Linked DNA regions of Drosophila melanogaster. The protein of the gene in region 1 interacts with the protein of each later gene in a pairwise test. Each region holds a gene or a part of one and is shown in the gene's direction. Other genes may lie near its edges.

Region 1 (7,812 bases):
ATACACCGTTGACCATAAAGGAACCGATGTCTTTTCTTCCAAAAAAAAAAAAAAAAAACATTTCTAATGGCATCTTTCGTTGCTTTGGGTGAATACAAACACCTAAAACATAAATGGTTTTATTCTACGGAAACTTATTACTTTTCAAAGAAAATATTCAAACGGTTCTTTACATAATAATCGTTTAATTGTTATCATTTACATACAATTATTTTCAAGATACACGTTTCGTCTCAAATCGTCTTAAATCTAATAAACAGGCACACAAATAAATGCAATAATTTCTTTGTATCTAGTTTCTAAATACGTCCTGTGTGCAAGCATCCAGAAATTCAATACGTGGAACATTTCATCTGAATCTTCTCCAGAATCTTTTCAGGTTCTGCCTATTTCATGGTGGGCATGGCCACAGCCGCCTGGGTGTGGGTCACATCCGTTTTGCGCCACAACTGGGTGACCGTCTTCGTCTGGGTGTAGAATTTGATACCCTGTTTGCCATAGAAGTGATGGTCGCCGCGGAAAGAGCCACGAGTTCCGGTAAAGGAGAACATGGGCAGGGGCACGGGAATTGGCACATTCACGCCAACCTGACCAGCATCAATTTCGTTGACAAACTTGCGGGCTGCCGCTCCATTGGTGGTGAATACGGCGGTACCATTTCCATAAGGATTGGCATTTACAATGCCAATGGCATCGTCCAAGGTGTCGGCCTTCAGGATAACCAACACAGGGCCAAAGATCTCCTCAGTGTAGCACTTCATGCTGGGCGTAACATCGCTTAGGATGGTTGGTCCCACAAAGTATCCATCCTCGTATCCGGGCACGGTTATCTTCCTGCCGTCCAGGATAAGCTTAGCTCCCTCCTTGACCCCAGACTCAATCAGGTCATTAATGCGTTGGCGTGAGGCGGCACTGATCACGGGACCCACGTCAGTTCCAGGTACATGGCCGGCATTTACCTTCAGCTTCTGGGCACGCTCCACCAGATCGGGAATCCATGCCTGGGCATCGCCGACAAAGACAGCCGTAGACAATGCCATGCAACGCTGACCAGCAGCTCCAAAGGCGGCACCTGCCAACTGGTTCAAAGTATTCTCCTTGTTGGCATCGCCCAGGATGATGCCGTGGTTCTTAGCGCCCATATTAGATTGCACCCGCTTGCCATTCTTGCCAGCCCGCTCGTAAATGTACTTGCCTGCCTGGTCGGAGCCCACAAAGGACACTGCCTTAATTTCGGGAGCATCGCAGATGAAGTTCACAGCGTCATGTTGGCCATGGATTACGTTGACGACACCCGGCGGACAGCCAGCTTCGTTAAGAAGCTCCATCAGCAACATGGTTGCACCAGGCACACGTTCCGATGGCTTCAGCAGCATAGTGTTACCGGTGGTGATGGCCACCGGGAACATCCACAGCGGTATCATGGCCGGGAAATTGAACGGCGCAACGCCAGCGGTTACTCCGAGGGGCAGCACTAGTGAGTACGTATCCATGTCCCTGGCCACGTTGGCTACGGTTTCGCCCATCTGCAGAGATGGGATGCTGCAGCAATGTTCCACCACCTGAAGGCCGCGGAGCACGTCGCCCTCTGCGTCGGCCAAGGTTTTGCCCTGCTCCTTGGTAATGTTCTTGGCCAGCTCACCCATGTTCTCCTTGATGAGAGCCTGCAGCTTGAACATCACCTGCTGGCGGGTGAGGATCGACTGGTTGCTCCACGAGCGAAAAGCCTTCTTGTTCGACTCAAGGGCCGCCTGCATCTCCGCCTGTGTGGCCTTGGGCACGCGGGTGACCACTTGGTTGGTGGCCGGATCGTGCACGTCAATCCATTCGTTCGTCTTCGACTCAACGAACTTGCCGTCGATGAAGAGCTTGGTTGTGGGAGCGGCTGAAGAGTAGGACCTCTTTGCCAGATGGCGGGCCTGGTGATAAAGGAGGGACAAGAGTTGGTAAACAGCCAGTACAAAAGGTATGAACTCCGATCGCTAAGCGTACTTTATTTTCCCACTTCCACGTATACTAAACCAAAAATTTACCATTTAGTCCACCTTTCATTTGCTTTGCAAATTGCCCAGTGCTCGCAATCCTAACCTCAACGGCCGGACAAATCCGTTTAATGTGGGGTGAGGTCTATTTTTTTGGGTGTTGATAACTTGAGTGGTAGGCGCGCGGGGGGCAGCCGCCCACGCTTATCAGTGTCCATCTGGCAAATTCGAGATTTTCATGGCGCGCCTGTCGTGGAAAGGTACCGCTTATCGCGTTTTATTGGATTTAACGTCAACTCAAACATTGTACCGCTAAATTCCCCGCGAATTCGCCTTGTGCGCTTTATCTGCTTAATATTCTGGTTCTAGTTCTACTTCTTCCGCTTCGCAGCGACGTATTGCGTAACATGTGTTGTTTTCAACTGCCCGTTCGCCGCTCACACCCGTGGGCCATTCCAATCACTAGAGTGGGTGGAGTGTGAGATGGGCGCCGAAAGTGCATACATTACATGCCCAAGGCCAATCGCATCGCCAATTACCGAATTCACGGCCACACCAGTGTCAGAGAGAACGAGAGAGAGCGCCAAAACGATCCAAATGCTGATGGATGGATGCACGTATGTATGTATGTCAGGGTGAGGATGGCAGCCTAGCATGCCTATAGGACATACACCCACCCACCAATTGGAAACTCACCTCTGCTCCGATCAATCGCACTAGGGACATCTTGGGGATACGGAGATGAGAATTTGGTGCGGGGATCGGATCGCGTGCTCTCCGAACGGTGGCTACACTGAAACTGAACGCAGCGCAGCCGCCCATTTCTGATGCCAGTTATTCTCCACTGTTCTCTACACATATACATGAATGGAAATATATATGTACATATATCTGTATAGGTTTGAGGTAATGTATGGTGGTGTGGTGTGGTATTGGCATGGTGTGGCGATTGTTGATATACGAAGGCGAAGGCGAAGACCACGTCAAAAAGTGCTTTACATTAGCAAGTGGTTATAGTTTGATGCTCACACACACGTGTACACGCACATATGTATGTAACTTGCTACCGCACACACCGTTAGGAACCGGGGGCACAGCTGTTGTTTTTGTGTTGCTCTGTTTTCGCAATTGTTGCTGTTGCTGTTTTTTGGGGGCTCGTTGTGAGTATGTGTGTGTGAGTGTAGTGCTTGCTTTGCGGTGTTTGCGTTCTTGTCAATTCCCTGCTGGAAGGGAATGTTAGCTATGGTGACGGCAGTGTAGTATTGTAGTACCCAAATGCATACTCTATGGTTAATCAATTTTATGGTAATCAAGCCAGTTTATGTGTTCCAGTTAGATTGTAACAACTTTTTAAGTGTACAACAGTGGAAGTGTATTGGATCTTCGATGCTAGACATGCTGAACTGGCTTAGGGTATTTATAAACACCGGCGGATCCAATGTAGTATATTTGTGTTTTTCCATCAACGTATGTACATATGTACATATGTACGTATGGACACATGTACATATGAACTTAAACGAAATGTAATCAAATATTAATACTAGTGCTTAACCGAGGATGGAAAAAATAATCAATTAGGTGATAAGTGCTTCCTAGCTGAACAGATAAATCCTAAAAATGTTTCCTGGAACGCAGTGTGGACAGAAGCAGGCTGGCGCATTTTTCACTTTCTGAATGAAAATTTGTCTGCCTGCTTTTAGGCTTTTGGTCTATTAAAATAGCAAGTTCGCTTTCATCATCGGGCAGGGTAAGCTTTTGCTAGCAGCCCCGCTTCCTGGTCAACATAATCAAAAGGACTAGCCTGCACCGGGAAAACAAAATCCATGGAAATAGATGCAACACAAATGAAAGGCTTTCTCTTTTTTAAAGAAAGTGGTTTGCTTTGTCTCTCAATGGGACAATAGTAGCTCCTTTCTGCTCTTCAGTGATGCCCACCGGTAGTTGAATCAAGGAATTACAAAAAAAAAGTTCTGTCATTTGAAATCCATAACGTTTACAAAAAATCCATTGGCTTCGAAAAGTGTAAGCATATACTAAAAAGAATTCGATTAAATATAGCATATTTTTATACGTTGTTTTTAAGCAAGCTAAAGAAGTACCAGCACTGCCACTCGCTCTTTCTCTCGCTCCCTCTCTTGCTGCGGAATGCGGAAGTCAACTTGTGTGCAGGAGCATATAAATAGTGGGACCAATCGCAGGACTCGCTCACTCTGCTCGGAGAGCTTGGACTGGACTGTCAGCGCTCCGGACGACGCGCCTTAAGTTAGGCAAAAACAATTTTGTTATTTGCCGCAGTATGGACTTGCTGCGCTGACTTACTACTTACTGTCATGCCAAGAGGCTGAGGTCGAGAGGCAGCTTGGGATCTGGAAAAGATGGAGGCCACGCCGGGCTACCAGGACATCAGCGCTCTGGAAAAATCGGTGAGCTTATCGACCAGGCAAACAGAAATAGCCACTTATTCATTCAGAAGTATAGGCACTCAGAGTGTAGTGAGAGAAATTAGGGACACTCCATGGCGGTCTATTACAATCATAAGCCACATTGTCAGTTGGTGCCGAAATATGAGTATTTAAGATCTTTGTCCAAAGTACCTAAATGTAGACTGTTAATCCAAGTTTATCGAACTTAATTTAAGATGTTGTTATCAGGATTTGATCATAAGTTCTCCTGGGAATATCTTTTCAATGCTTCCCTAAGCTGAAGAGAGAACGGAAGCGGCCAAAATTCAATTACTTAATCCATAGGTAACCTACATTTCCCTCTGCTTCAAGGTGGCCAATGCAGGATCGCAGCTGTACACGATGGCCCACAAACTGCACGCGGTGGAGCGCAGCCTCGAACAGACGACGATGGAGCAGATGGACGAGATGGAGGTCCTCGAGTTGCTCGAGTCGATGAGCGAGGTGACCAACGAGTACCAGAATCTGCGCAAGGACATTCGCGAGGTGCAGCAGTTGCAGCGTGACGTCAGCAGCTCCATACGGTACCAAATGCGCAGCATGCAGCAGACTTTTCACACTCTAAAACAGCGGATAGCTAGCTCCCAGAAGGGTCGCAAAAAGCCCGAGAAAGGGCTCGATGGAGCAGGGGTTGGTATTCATGAATAATCAATGACCCTATTGATTGGCCTCCCTGGCGAATAGGTGCGGTAAATGTGTCAATGGGGACGCAAATGTAGGGACTAAATTGGCACCAATCTGAAGCAATCAACTGTGTAACTATATATCGCAAGCCCACTCCAAGCATTTAGACTCGGAAAAAAATCCTATACTTTATATACATGTATACACATTAAGAAAACCACACCCATTGTATGCGAATTAAGGTTTTTTTTTGGTGTTTTATTCCAGTGATAGGCAGGAATAACGAAAACTCACTGCTCTAAGAACACAAAAACACAATGCTTAACACAGAGTAAACAACATTTACGATGATATGCGTTCTTTAGGACGAACCGGAATGTCTGAATGCACTTTTCCAAATTTTGCCTTAACATAATAGTATTTTGAGGTAGTTTTTGATACGACACGTTTTAAAAGATAATATATAACAGACCGTACATATTTAGGCCACACACAATGGTTATTCTTGTGTTAGTTTCATTTTTGGAGATTTATTTGTTGAGCTCTAGAGAAAATAAAAGTTAGTTAAACCTCGGGAGACGAGGAACGCATATATTTAAATCTGGCGCCATCCGGTTGTCAACAACAACCTTCTGGCAACTCCTCTAAGTCGCATCTGGCAATGTCATCTGATCGCAGCCGAGTGGCAACAGTGGTCGCTGCTGCGTTCGCGTACTTTCGTGACTTCATTTGCGATTTTATTTATATTCTCCGTGTTGCGAATAAAATGTATGTATCATGGCAGTTGTTTAAGAAGCGAATATACGCTGATTCATCCTAGGCTGGCGAGAAGATCATTGCGAAAAAAGTGTACGAAAAGAAAGTGCAATAACTGCAGCTCTATTGTGCGCGCATCTGGGTGTGCGTAGATCTTTGCATCGGTGTGTCGGTGTTTTTTTACGTTTGTGTGCGTGGCGTGCCCACATTTGTGGCACAAGTTTAAAAATTGGCACTAAGAAAGTTCAAGAAAGTGGTTCTGGGGAAAATAGTTCATTCATTCAGCATCCACTTTCTGTTGAAAGTGGCGCGCCTGCGTTTTGTGTCTTAATCATCGCATTGCTGCCTGCCTACGTGTACAGAAACTGCGAGCGCTCCGGGAGAGTCCCCGAGAATCCCCAAAATGTTGTTTTTCTGCCTAGCCTTGATCATCGGCTGCGCAGTCGGAGAATACAGCGAAGTCCGGGTCATCCAGGAAGAGGACAACTTCCTGGAGAGTCCTCACTACCTAAAAAACGAGGAAATAGGAGATCTTTTCAGCCAGCTAGCCAAGGATTACCCCGACTTGGCGCAGACCTATACAATAGGCAAATCCCTGGAGGATCGACCCATCTACGCCCTAGCCTTAAGTGCACCTACCGGGGAGTCCAAGAATGGAGATCTCCTAAGGCCAATGGTTAAACTGGTGGCCAACATACAAGGCGATGAAGCCGTGGGTCGTCAGATGGTTCTCTATATGGCCGAATACCTGGCCACCCACTACGATGGGGACCCGAAGGTCCAGGCGCTACTAAATCTCACCGAAATCCACTTCCTGCCCACCTGTAACCCCGATGGATTCGCCAAAGCCAAGGTGAGTCACCTCCTGTTTCTAGCTTATCAAGAATCCACGGAAAGCAAGTTTTGGAACGGAAAAATGATTGTAAAGTGAGTGTCGAATCGCCCGGCCAACTGTTTATACAACACACTAGACCGAGAGAAAAATACGCTTTGCGTTTTTTTTCCCAACTTGTACATTATATTCAGTCATTAGCTATACACTTGAACAAATGTTTGCCGTTTTTACTGTGGGATTTCCCAAACTTTTGGACCTATTGCTGTTGCAAAAGCGAGCTTACAATATTGAAAAGCAGAATTGCTCTTTGGCATTTTGTTTCTATGTACATGTCTTTCCCTCTCTCCATCCCATTTTTCTTTATTCCCTGTTTCGAGCTTTTGTGTGAATGAGCTGGTCTTTTTTGATTACCGCAAATAAAAAAGCATCGAGATCAATCTGAAATCATTCCCAATCAAAATGGAATGTGTGAACGAAAGGTTTTGACCCACTTTTGGCCTCTGCGTTTGTGATCCCTTAATTAGCAGGCAAGAACTGCATCTTAACTTATCGCTTTCAAAATAAAAATCTTTAAAATAAAATTTAGCACAGTCCTTAGAAATTTTGTGCCCCATAATGTTTATTTGATTCCCCCTGCATTTCGTGGTATTGACTGTTCCATAATGTTTTGAGTACATTTTAATTAATTATTTTGTTTAAAATTGCACGGTTGTATAGTTTTCATAATTTTATTTTTAGATTCATGCAATGATGCTACAAATTTGTATAGGTAATGACAATTAAACGGCCATCGTTCTTTAGCCTAGGAATCGTTATTTGTGGCTCTTGTCTGGTTTTTTATGTGACCCAATGGCATCTGAACATTCCACTTGTGCTCCAGCGGGTAACTGACACAATTTAATGAGCTGTTTAATTCTAGTTAGGCCTGAAAATCGCATATATTATGGCCTTGGTACGTGATGTGGCGATGCTGACCCCACATCCTTTGCCATTTTTCGCTGAGTGCGGGTGTGCGATTCTTGGTGACGGTTTTATGGCCTCTCCAAAACTGTGCTGATAAAGTAAACAAAGTTGGTATTCGGTGCGCTGACGTTATGATTTCGCAACTGCAACGGCGGCCCCAACAATAACTGAGAAAGAGTTACAGGCG
Region 2 (7,949 bases), on another chromosome or scaffold:
TACCAGAGGGCCAAGCACGAGGTGGTCCACACCGGCGAGCGTAACTTCCAGTAAGATCTTGTGAAGATATATGGCTAGATTTTTCTTTCTCCTAACATATTCCTTTAAGTATCAATCATCTTATTATTCCCACTTTGTAACTCTTTACTTCCTAATATCCACTACATCCAGCAATCAAGTTAACTATTTCCTGCTTGAAAAGTTACTTTTTCAAATGTTTAACTTTGTTTTTATCTACTTTCCCCTTAGCTGTGAGGTCTGCAAAGTGTCCTTTACACGGAACTCGAACTTGAAGACCCACTACCGCTCCAGGCAGCATCAAAATAAGCTGATCGCAATGAGTGCTAAGTCCGAAATTGATTCCAAAAATAAATAAGGTACAAATGTTTTGTTGTTAAGTGTTGTCATCCGTTTAGAGGTCTAATGTTCTTATCTGTTAAAATTATAATAATTTAGTATAAAAGTATTTCTAAGAAGTTAATAAGATGAAATATCATAAGATATCTGACTGTGATTTGGGTGTATCGATCAGTTTTGAAAGTGGATCTTTCATCCTCTTAAATATTTAACGTTTATTACAACAAATCCACAGTTCAAATCGGAAGAACTAATTCCTTGTAGTTCACTTTAAAATGTGCCATTCACACAAAACAATGATAAACTAGATTATTCTGTAAACAGAAGTCCAACTTTGTTTACTTGGCGGAAACTAAACAATTGAGTTGAAACTGCAAAAAGGATGACCACGCTGTGCCGCACCTGTGGCCAGGAGGCGGAGCACGCCAAGTCACTTTTCGATAAGGAGGCCAGAGATGTCCTGAGCAACATCCTCAAGCTGACGGGCTTTTGGGTAGGTGACTATTCCCGGTAACCACGGAGTCATTCCCTCTTCGATTCCAGTTGAGGAACCAGCCAGGTGTGCCAACGAGGATCTGCTTATCCTGCTTGCTGGATCTGAACGATGCCATCGCATTCCGGGAGCGCTGCATCAGGACCAATTCGTCTTGGTTCGAAAAGCAGGGCAAACAAGAGGATTCGGACACTGAGACTGCAAGGGAAGGCGGGAATAACAGGTTAGAAAGTAGGGTGGATGTTATGCCCATTAGTATTGCACAGCCGCAAAGGAGAAGGATTCTACCACAACGCAGCAAGAAAGTGGATGGAGTGCCTCTTAAGACAGTAGAAACCCCAATTTACCCTTTAGTTGTCCCGGAAATACCGCCTGCCGATCTCGTCGATCCTCTCCGGTGCGAGGATCCTATTCAGGTGAAGAGCGAGCCTCAGCTTTCATCTGATTATCCAGTGGAGTCCATGAATCACGAAGAGCCAGCATCCGAAATGCCCCAAGTCATGAAGGAAGAGCCCAGAACACTACAAGTCATCGGGGAAGTACAGAAAAACCGAAGAAAACCGAGGAGCAAAGGGTGCTTAGAGGAGTGTCCTGGCAAGGACATGGCTAAAATAGAGAATATTGACTCAACTACCAATAAGACCAAAGAGGAAAAGTATGCCACACGAAACAAATGGGGAGCTGCCAAAAGAGCCTATGCACTGGAGCACCGACTATATTTCTGCGACCAATGCGGCAAAACTTTTAGCGAGAAGGGCAACTTCAATGTGCACCTCAGACGGCACAAGGGCACCAAGGAGTTCCAGTGCCAGGAGTGCGACCGCATGGAGTTCACCCAACACCTGCTCAATTTGCACGTGCGGATTAAGCATCGCGGGGAGCTGCCCTACGTGTGCAAGTACTGCGGCAAGCGATTTGACAACTGCCTCAAGCGGCTGAACCACGAGCGCAACCACAAGGAGAGTCCCGTCCACCGACCACACGTGTGCTCCACATGCCAGAAGGCCTTCAAGACTTCGACGGCTCTCAAGGACCACATCGTGGTCCACACGGGGGAACAGCCATTCCAGTGAGTTACGGTCAAACAGACACTGTTTGGATCTTTACTTAATACATTTTCTTTAGCTGCGAGCTCTGCCAAACGTTCTTCAATAGAAGGAACGCCCTGGCCACCCACTACAAGTCGAAGCACCATCGCCTGAAAGTTGAGGAGCAGTCAAAAATGCCAAAAATGGATGCTACTGTCCAAGCGGATGGGTAAATCGTTGGTTCCTTGAGAGGATTATTTCGCATGTTCTGCTATTGACATGCAAAATGCCCCTCTGGAAACTTTCTAAAGTTGATGTCAATAAAAATTGGTTACAAATTGCTCCCTCATCCAAGCTGAGTAACGGGTATCTGATAGTCGAGGACTCGACTATCTTCCCTTGTTTCCTAATAAGATATGGCATAGCAGTAAATTGTGGTTTTGCTAACATCAATAATTTTCAATAAAGAATATAATTAAAATAATGAATTGGGCTATTCTCAACAAGTGCTTAAAGTAAACAAAAAGCTTAAAGCCATATGCACCGTACTAAAATCGCTACGCCCGTGAAAAGTGCTCTTGGCTACGCACATGGACACAGCCTGGAGTTCAACCCCTAGTTCAAGGTTATGCAGCCCTGCAAACTGTGCTTGCTGTTTTGCAGAAATTCGCAGTTTGCCGGCAAAGGATGAAGTGCGCAGTTCGCATCTGCGGCAACAGATTCCTCTGCGAGTTCGCCAGTCCAAGCACATCTCGGTGAAAGAAGAAAGCATATTCCGGACTTTCCCAACAGTCCGCGAAACTTTTCATCGACTCAACATTGCCGAAAACGGGAGAGCTCAAATTATTTGCGAATAACTTTCACAGATGAGGTCGTCTAGGACAGCCAGCGATTCAAAATGGGTGTGTCACTCAAACTCTTATTAATATTCTAATCTGGTATATTATGTATACCTTCGTTTTTTTTTTGCATTCAAGGTGCGCCAGTCAAACGACAACAAAGACACAATGCGCTCCTCGCGGCAGGTTAACAAAAAGCTTGTGAAGCTATTCCTGGCGGAGGCAGACGACAGTGACGCCACCTGCACCACATCCACTGCCCTGGACACGACCACAGCAGACAGTGCGTTTTTTGATAGTGATTTCGAAGAGGAGAGCACTGGGCTCCAGGAATGCGATCCCCCGCCGGCAAGCAAGTGCCGCACCTGCTTTCGCATCATATCGCGGCATGAGGATGCTCAGGATCTATATGACAGGGTCAACATAGCGCTTCTGCACCACATAAAGGTCATCACTGGGGTGTGGGTACGTCTGCGTCTGCATTTAAACTTACGTTTTCTTTTTTGTTGTTAAATTGTTTCATCTTCGTTTTATAAGTTAACTTTGTTGACAAGGAACATAATATGTGAGTTCTTAAACTGTTCTACCACAAATTTAACAGAAAAATAAACCCACTATATAATATTATAATAAAGCTGCATTAAAGAACTAACATTTTATTGCAGATACAACAAGGAGTCAAAGAGCTACCGCATCACATTTGCTCAACGTGCCAGGAAACTGTGAATAAATCCATGGAATTCCGTGCCAAATGCCAGCAGGTCGACAAAAAGCTTAGGCAGACGACGGAAAAGTACAACATTCAAATCTGTGACGAGGAAATGGAGTCGGAGCTGGAAAATGTGCTCTACGAAGAGTCCGCCCAGCAGGCAAAGGGAGTCGTAGGACTAGAAGATTTCAGCTCAGAGTTGTTGCCGGATAGTGAGGGTGTCCTGGATGAAGACGACTTTCCACTGGATGCAGAGCCAACTCAGTTTTCACTAAGTGAAGATGAGTTGGATCTAGACAGAGACACAGAAAAAGACTTTGCTTTGGAGCAAAACAAGTCATGTAATGAAATAATTAGCATACGAAAGTGTAAGACTAAGGAAGAGATTGGTAAGGTAGATCACGGAGCCAAGGTCTATAAGGTTGTGCTCGGTGAGTACAATAGCCTAAAGGAAACTGCACCAAAGTATTCGCTTTCACTACCAAAGAAACCTCAACTAAGGGTGAGTCCAGAGGAGAAAAACCGAAGGCGCCGCGAAAGGATACAAGCGAAGCCATTGAACTATGTCTGCGACAAGTGCGGCCACACCTTTCGCCAACGCAGTCAGCTGCAGATGCACTTGCTCCGTCACAATAGGGCCAAGAATTTCGAGTGCCCCGAATGCCCGAAGAAATTCTACGATCTCTATACGCGCAACATTCACGTAAGAGCGCTGCACAAGGGCGAGCATCCCTTTCCCTGCAACCATTGCAATGAGTCCTTCGCAAACGCAAGCAGTCGTCACAGGCACGAGAGGTGAGTGCACCTACTATTTGATGGTTCCATCATCTAATCACTTCGATTGACTCCAGGGATGTTCACGGAGCAGGCAATCGGATTCGAACGCGGGTGAAATCAAAGGAAGAGGGATCCAGTCGCCATTACTGCACCCAGTGCACCAAAAGTTATACCAGCAAGAAAGGTCTAGTCCTGCACATGAACTTCCACAACGGAAGCAGACCCTTCCAGTGCAAGATTTGCCAGATGAAATTCGCTGACCCATCTGCCATGAAACGACATCAAGCTTTGCACGACAAGTTTCCCATTCGCTGTGACATCTGCCTAAAGGGATTCCTGCTGCGCTCCCAACTAACAAAGCATCAGGATGTACACACAGGAATGCATCCTCATCGGTGGGTGCAAAAGAGAATCCCGACTACTGTCCGTTTACTTATTTCTTTACTTGATTTATATTGCCAGGTGCGAGATCTGCGATGTTCACTACCGCCATAGATATAATCTAAACAAACACAAAAACACCGATTTGCATCGGGATAATATGCAGAAAGCTATAAAAGAAGAAGTTAATGGACTGCAACAAGCATTTAAAGATATTGATAAGGAAATGGACTTTGAATCTCAAACACCAATGCAGCCAAATGCACAGGAAGTGCGAGCCAGAACTCAGGATGAAAAGACTCAAACTATTGAATATATATAATTTTTATAAAAATTTATATACTTTCATGGCGAAGTACGTAATACTTCTAAGGTGACGTTTAGTAAGTGCCGACATAGAAGATAATGCACGAACAATATTTTAAAAATATATAATTCGTATAATAGTATTATGCATTTAATAACGTTAAGCTTAATGAAGAATAGACTTGACAACCTAAATACAAATCTGAATAGTTCAGACGTATGTTTCATGAAAGGAACAATAAATATTTATATTATTAATATTAAATAATAATCAATTAAAAAATAATATAAGTGCATTTGTTTTTCCTAATTAAAAAATCAGCTGATACTGTTATTTGAAATTCTCCAGTTTCCCGGGCAAATGAGTAAGGGGTTGGTTTTGAACGTTTCCTACACTGGCCGTTGAATGAATGATACATGATTTTAAAATTACGATAATTGTAATAAAATGAATACAAAAAAAGGACTGAAAGTAATAATTAAATTTGTATTTAAAGGGAAAATATTTTTAATACTTTCTATTGCCTAGGGAAATGATGAGAAGATATTTGACCACAAACTATTAAAACCAATATTACTTATTTATTAAAAAATTCAACCGAAACAGCAGTGCCGTTAACCACCCCGATTTCAGTGTAGCAAAACACCAGCCGACTAGTGTTGCAAAGCACAACCACCCATTGTATACATACATATAAATAATACCTACGCACACATACACGCACACACGAGTACAGTCGCAAGTTGCGACTCGCAACGCCATACAAAAAGTTGGAACTGAGTGGAATCGGAGTACTATATAGCCAGCCGATCCCTTCCAGAGCGCCGGAAGAGTAGCTCACATCCGAACCCACGTCCCCGAGCCGATGTCGCGGCGGGAATAGAGCGATTCGCAGTCCAAACACGATGATAAACCCCATTGCATCCGAGTCGGAGGCCATCAATTCGGCCACCTATGTGGACAACTATATCGATTCGGTGGAAAATCTGCCGGACGACGTGCAGCGCCAGTTGTCACGCATCCGCGACATAGACGTCCAGTACAGAGGTGAGTTCTGGCCGAGATTACGCCTGTTGGAAAAGCGGAAAACCTAACCTCCTCTCTTGGTCCAAACCCGTCGATTTGCAGGCCTCATTCGCGACGTAGACCACTACTACGACCTGTATCTGTCCCTGCAGAACTCCGCGGATGCCGGGCGACGGTCTCGAAGCATCTCCAGGATGCACCAGAGTCTCATTCAGGCGCAGGAACTGGGCGACGAAAAAATGCAGATCGTCAATCATATGCAGGAGATAATCGACGGCAAGCTGCGCCAGCTGGACACCGACCAGCAGAACCTGGACCTGAAGGAGGACCGCGATCGGTATGCGCTCCTGGACGATGGCACGCCTTCGAAGCTGCAACGCCTGCAGAGCCCGATGAGGGAGCAGGGCAACCAAGCGGGCACTGGCAACGGTGGCCTAAATGGAAACGGCCTGCTTTCGGCCAAAGATCTGTACGCCTTGGGCGGCTATGCAGGTGGTGTTGTGCCTGGTTCTAATGCCATGACCTCCGGCAACGGTGGCGGCTCAACGCCCAACTCGGAGCGCTCGAGCCATGTCAGTAATGGTGGCAACAGCGGCTCCAATGGCAATGCCAGCGGCGGAGGAGGCGGAGAACTGCAGCGCACAGGTAGCAAGCGGTCGAGGAGGCGAAACGAGAGTGTTGTTAACAACGGAAGCTCTCTGGAGATGGGCGGCAACGAGTCCAACTCGGCAAATGAAGCCAGTGGCAGTGGTGGTGGCAGTGGCGAGCGCAAATCCTCGTTGGGCGGTGCCAGTGGAGCGGGACAGGGACGAAAGGCCAGTCTGCAGTCGGCTTCTGGCAGTTTGGCTAGCGGCTCTGCAGCCACGAGCAGTGGAGCAGCCGGAGGTGGTGGTGCCAGCGGAGCCGGCGTAGTTGGTGGCAATAATTCCGGCAAGAAGAAAAAGCGCAAGGTACGCGGTTCTGGGGCTTCAAATGCCAATGCCAGTACGCGAGAGGAGACGCCGCCGCCGGAGACCATTGATCCGGACGAGCCGACCTACTGTGTCTGCAATCAGGTGAGTTCGCAGTGCTTTTCCTATCGAAAAGCTTCGCCACTAATCACGTTTTCTATTGCAGATCTCCTTTGGCGAGATGATCCTGTGCGACAATGACCTGTGCCCCATCGAGTGGTTCCATTTTTCGTGCGTCTCCCTGGTACTAAAACCAAAAGGCAAGTGGTTCTGCCCCAACTGCCGCGGAGAACGGCCAAATGTAATGAAACCCAAGGCGCAGTTCCTCAAAGAACTGGAGCGCTACAACAAGGAAAAGGAGGAGAAGACCTAGTCTATTAGGCCAGCCTATCCAACCCATTGCTCTGTGTCTAACACCAGGCTCTGTAAAATATTCGATCCTAAGATTTACCTTAATGTATATTTAGTGACTTTCTTAGACCCGATCCCTTTTCGACTTTCCCCTCTTTCACCCAGTTTAGATCCCTCGCTTCTATGGTTATAGGTCGTCAGTTTTCATTTAAAGTTTCTGTACAAACAATATCTTTCTCAATGTAAACACACAAAAACTCGTATAATTAGAGTACACCTAAACTTAATTTATGGTAATAAACGTTGATATTCAAAACCCACAATAATTTCTTGGCCCCAAGGAGCCCGTATCCAGTAGCAGTAGTTTTACGAATCTATTTGTTTAATTGTCGTTTAGAAGACTAAGGCATTCGAATTACACATAAGTATAATTGATCGTGTATAAATGTGTGTAAAATATATAAATTTATATAAAACTATTTGGTAGGCATCTGTGGAATTGTATGGAATTCTTATTGTAAAAAATGCGCATGGACGGAGTTCTTGTTGCGTGTCAAGTCAAAAAGTATTCTAATAGATTATTCGAGCTTCTGTATGGAGGTTCTTCCATCATGGCATGAGCAGCTCAATGTTCGGATTCTGGATCTCCAGGAATATCTGGTACTGCGAGAAGACCACCAGCCAGCAATAGATCTAAGTGGATGAGTAAAATGGGTTTATAAACATAATGA

The links.
Region 2: the proteins of CG17778 (region 1) and CG17803 interact in a two-hybrid assay, tested with the Drosophila melanogaster proteins (one large-scale study listed by BioGRID).

Annotation. Positions count from the first base shown.
Region 1 is NC_004354.4:490,710-498,521, forward strand, and holds CG17778 (uncharacterized protein), read left to right. Parts: upstream 1-3,904; 5' UTR 3,905-4,007; intron 4,008-4,068; 5' UTR 4,069-4,360; coding exon 4,361-4,408; intron 4,409-4,759; coding exon 4,760-5,095; 3' UTR 5,096-5,660; downstream 5,661-7,812. Other genes in the region: CG17896 (uncharacterized protein), read right to left, coding at 387-1,919, 2,679-2,708.
Region 2 is NT_033777.3:17,795,957-17,803,905, reverse strand, and holds CG17803 (uncharacterized protein), read left to right. Parts: upstream 1-2,393; 5' UTR 2,394-2,744; coding exon 2,745-2,780; intron 2,781-2,855; coding exon 2,856-3,182; intron 3,183-3,382; coding exon 3,383-4,221; intron 4,222-4,277; coding exon 4,278-4,598; intron 4,599-4,665; coding exon 4,666-4,906; 3' UTR 4,907-5,029; downstream 5,030-7,949. Other genes in the region: Nnk (nicknack), read left to right, coding at 1-50, 250-376; CG17806 (uncharacterized protein), read left to right, coding at 740-850, 901-1,919, 1,976-2,111; CG7379 (uncharacterized protein), read left to right, coding at 5,797-5,938, 6,020-6,972, 7,034-7,240; pasi1 (pasiflora 1), read right to left, coding at 7,828-7,911.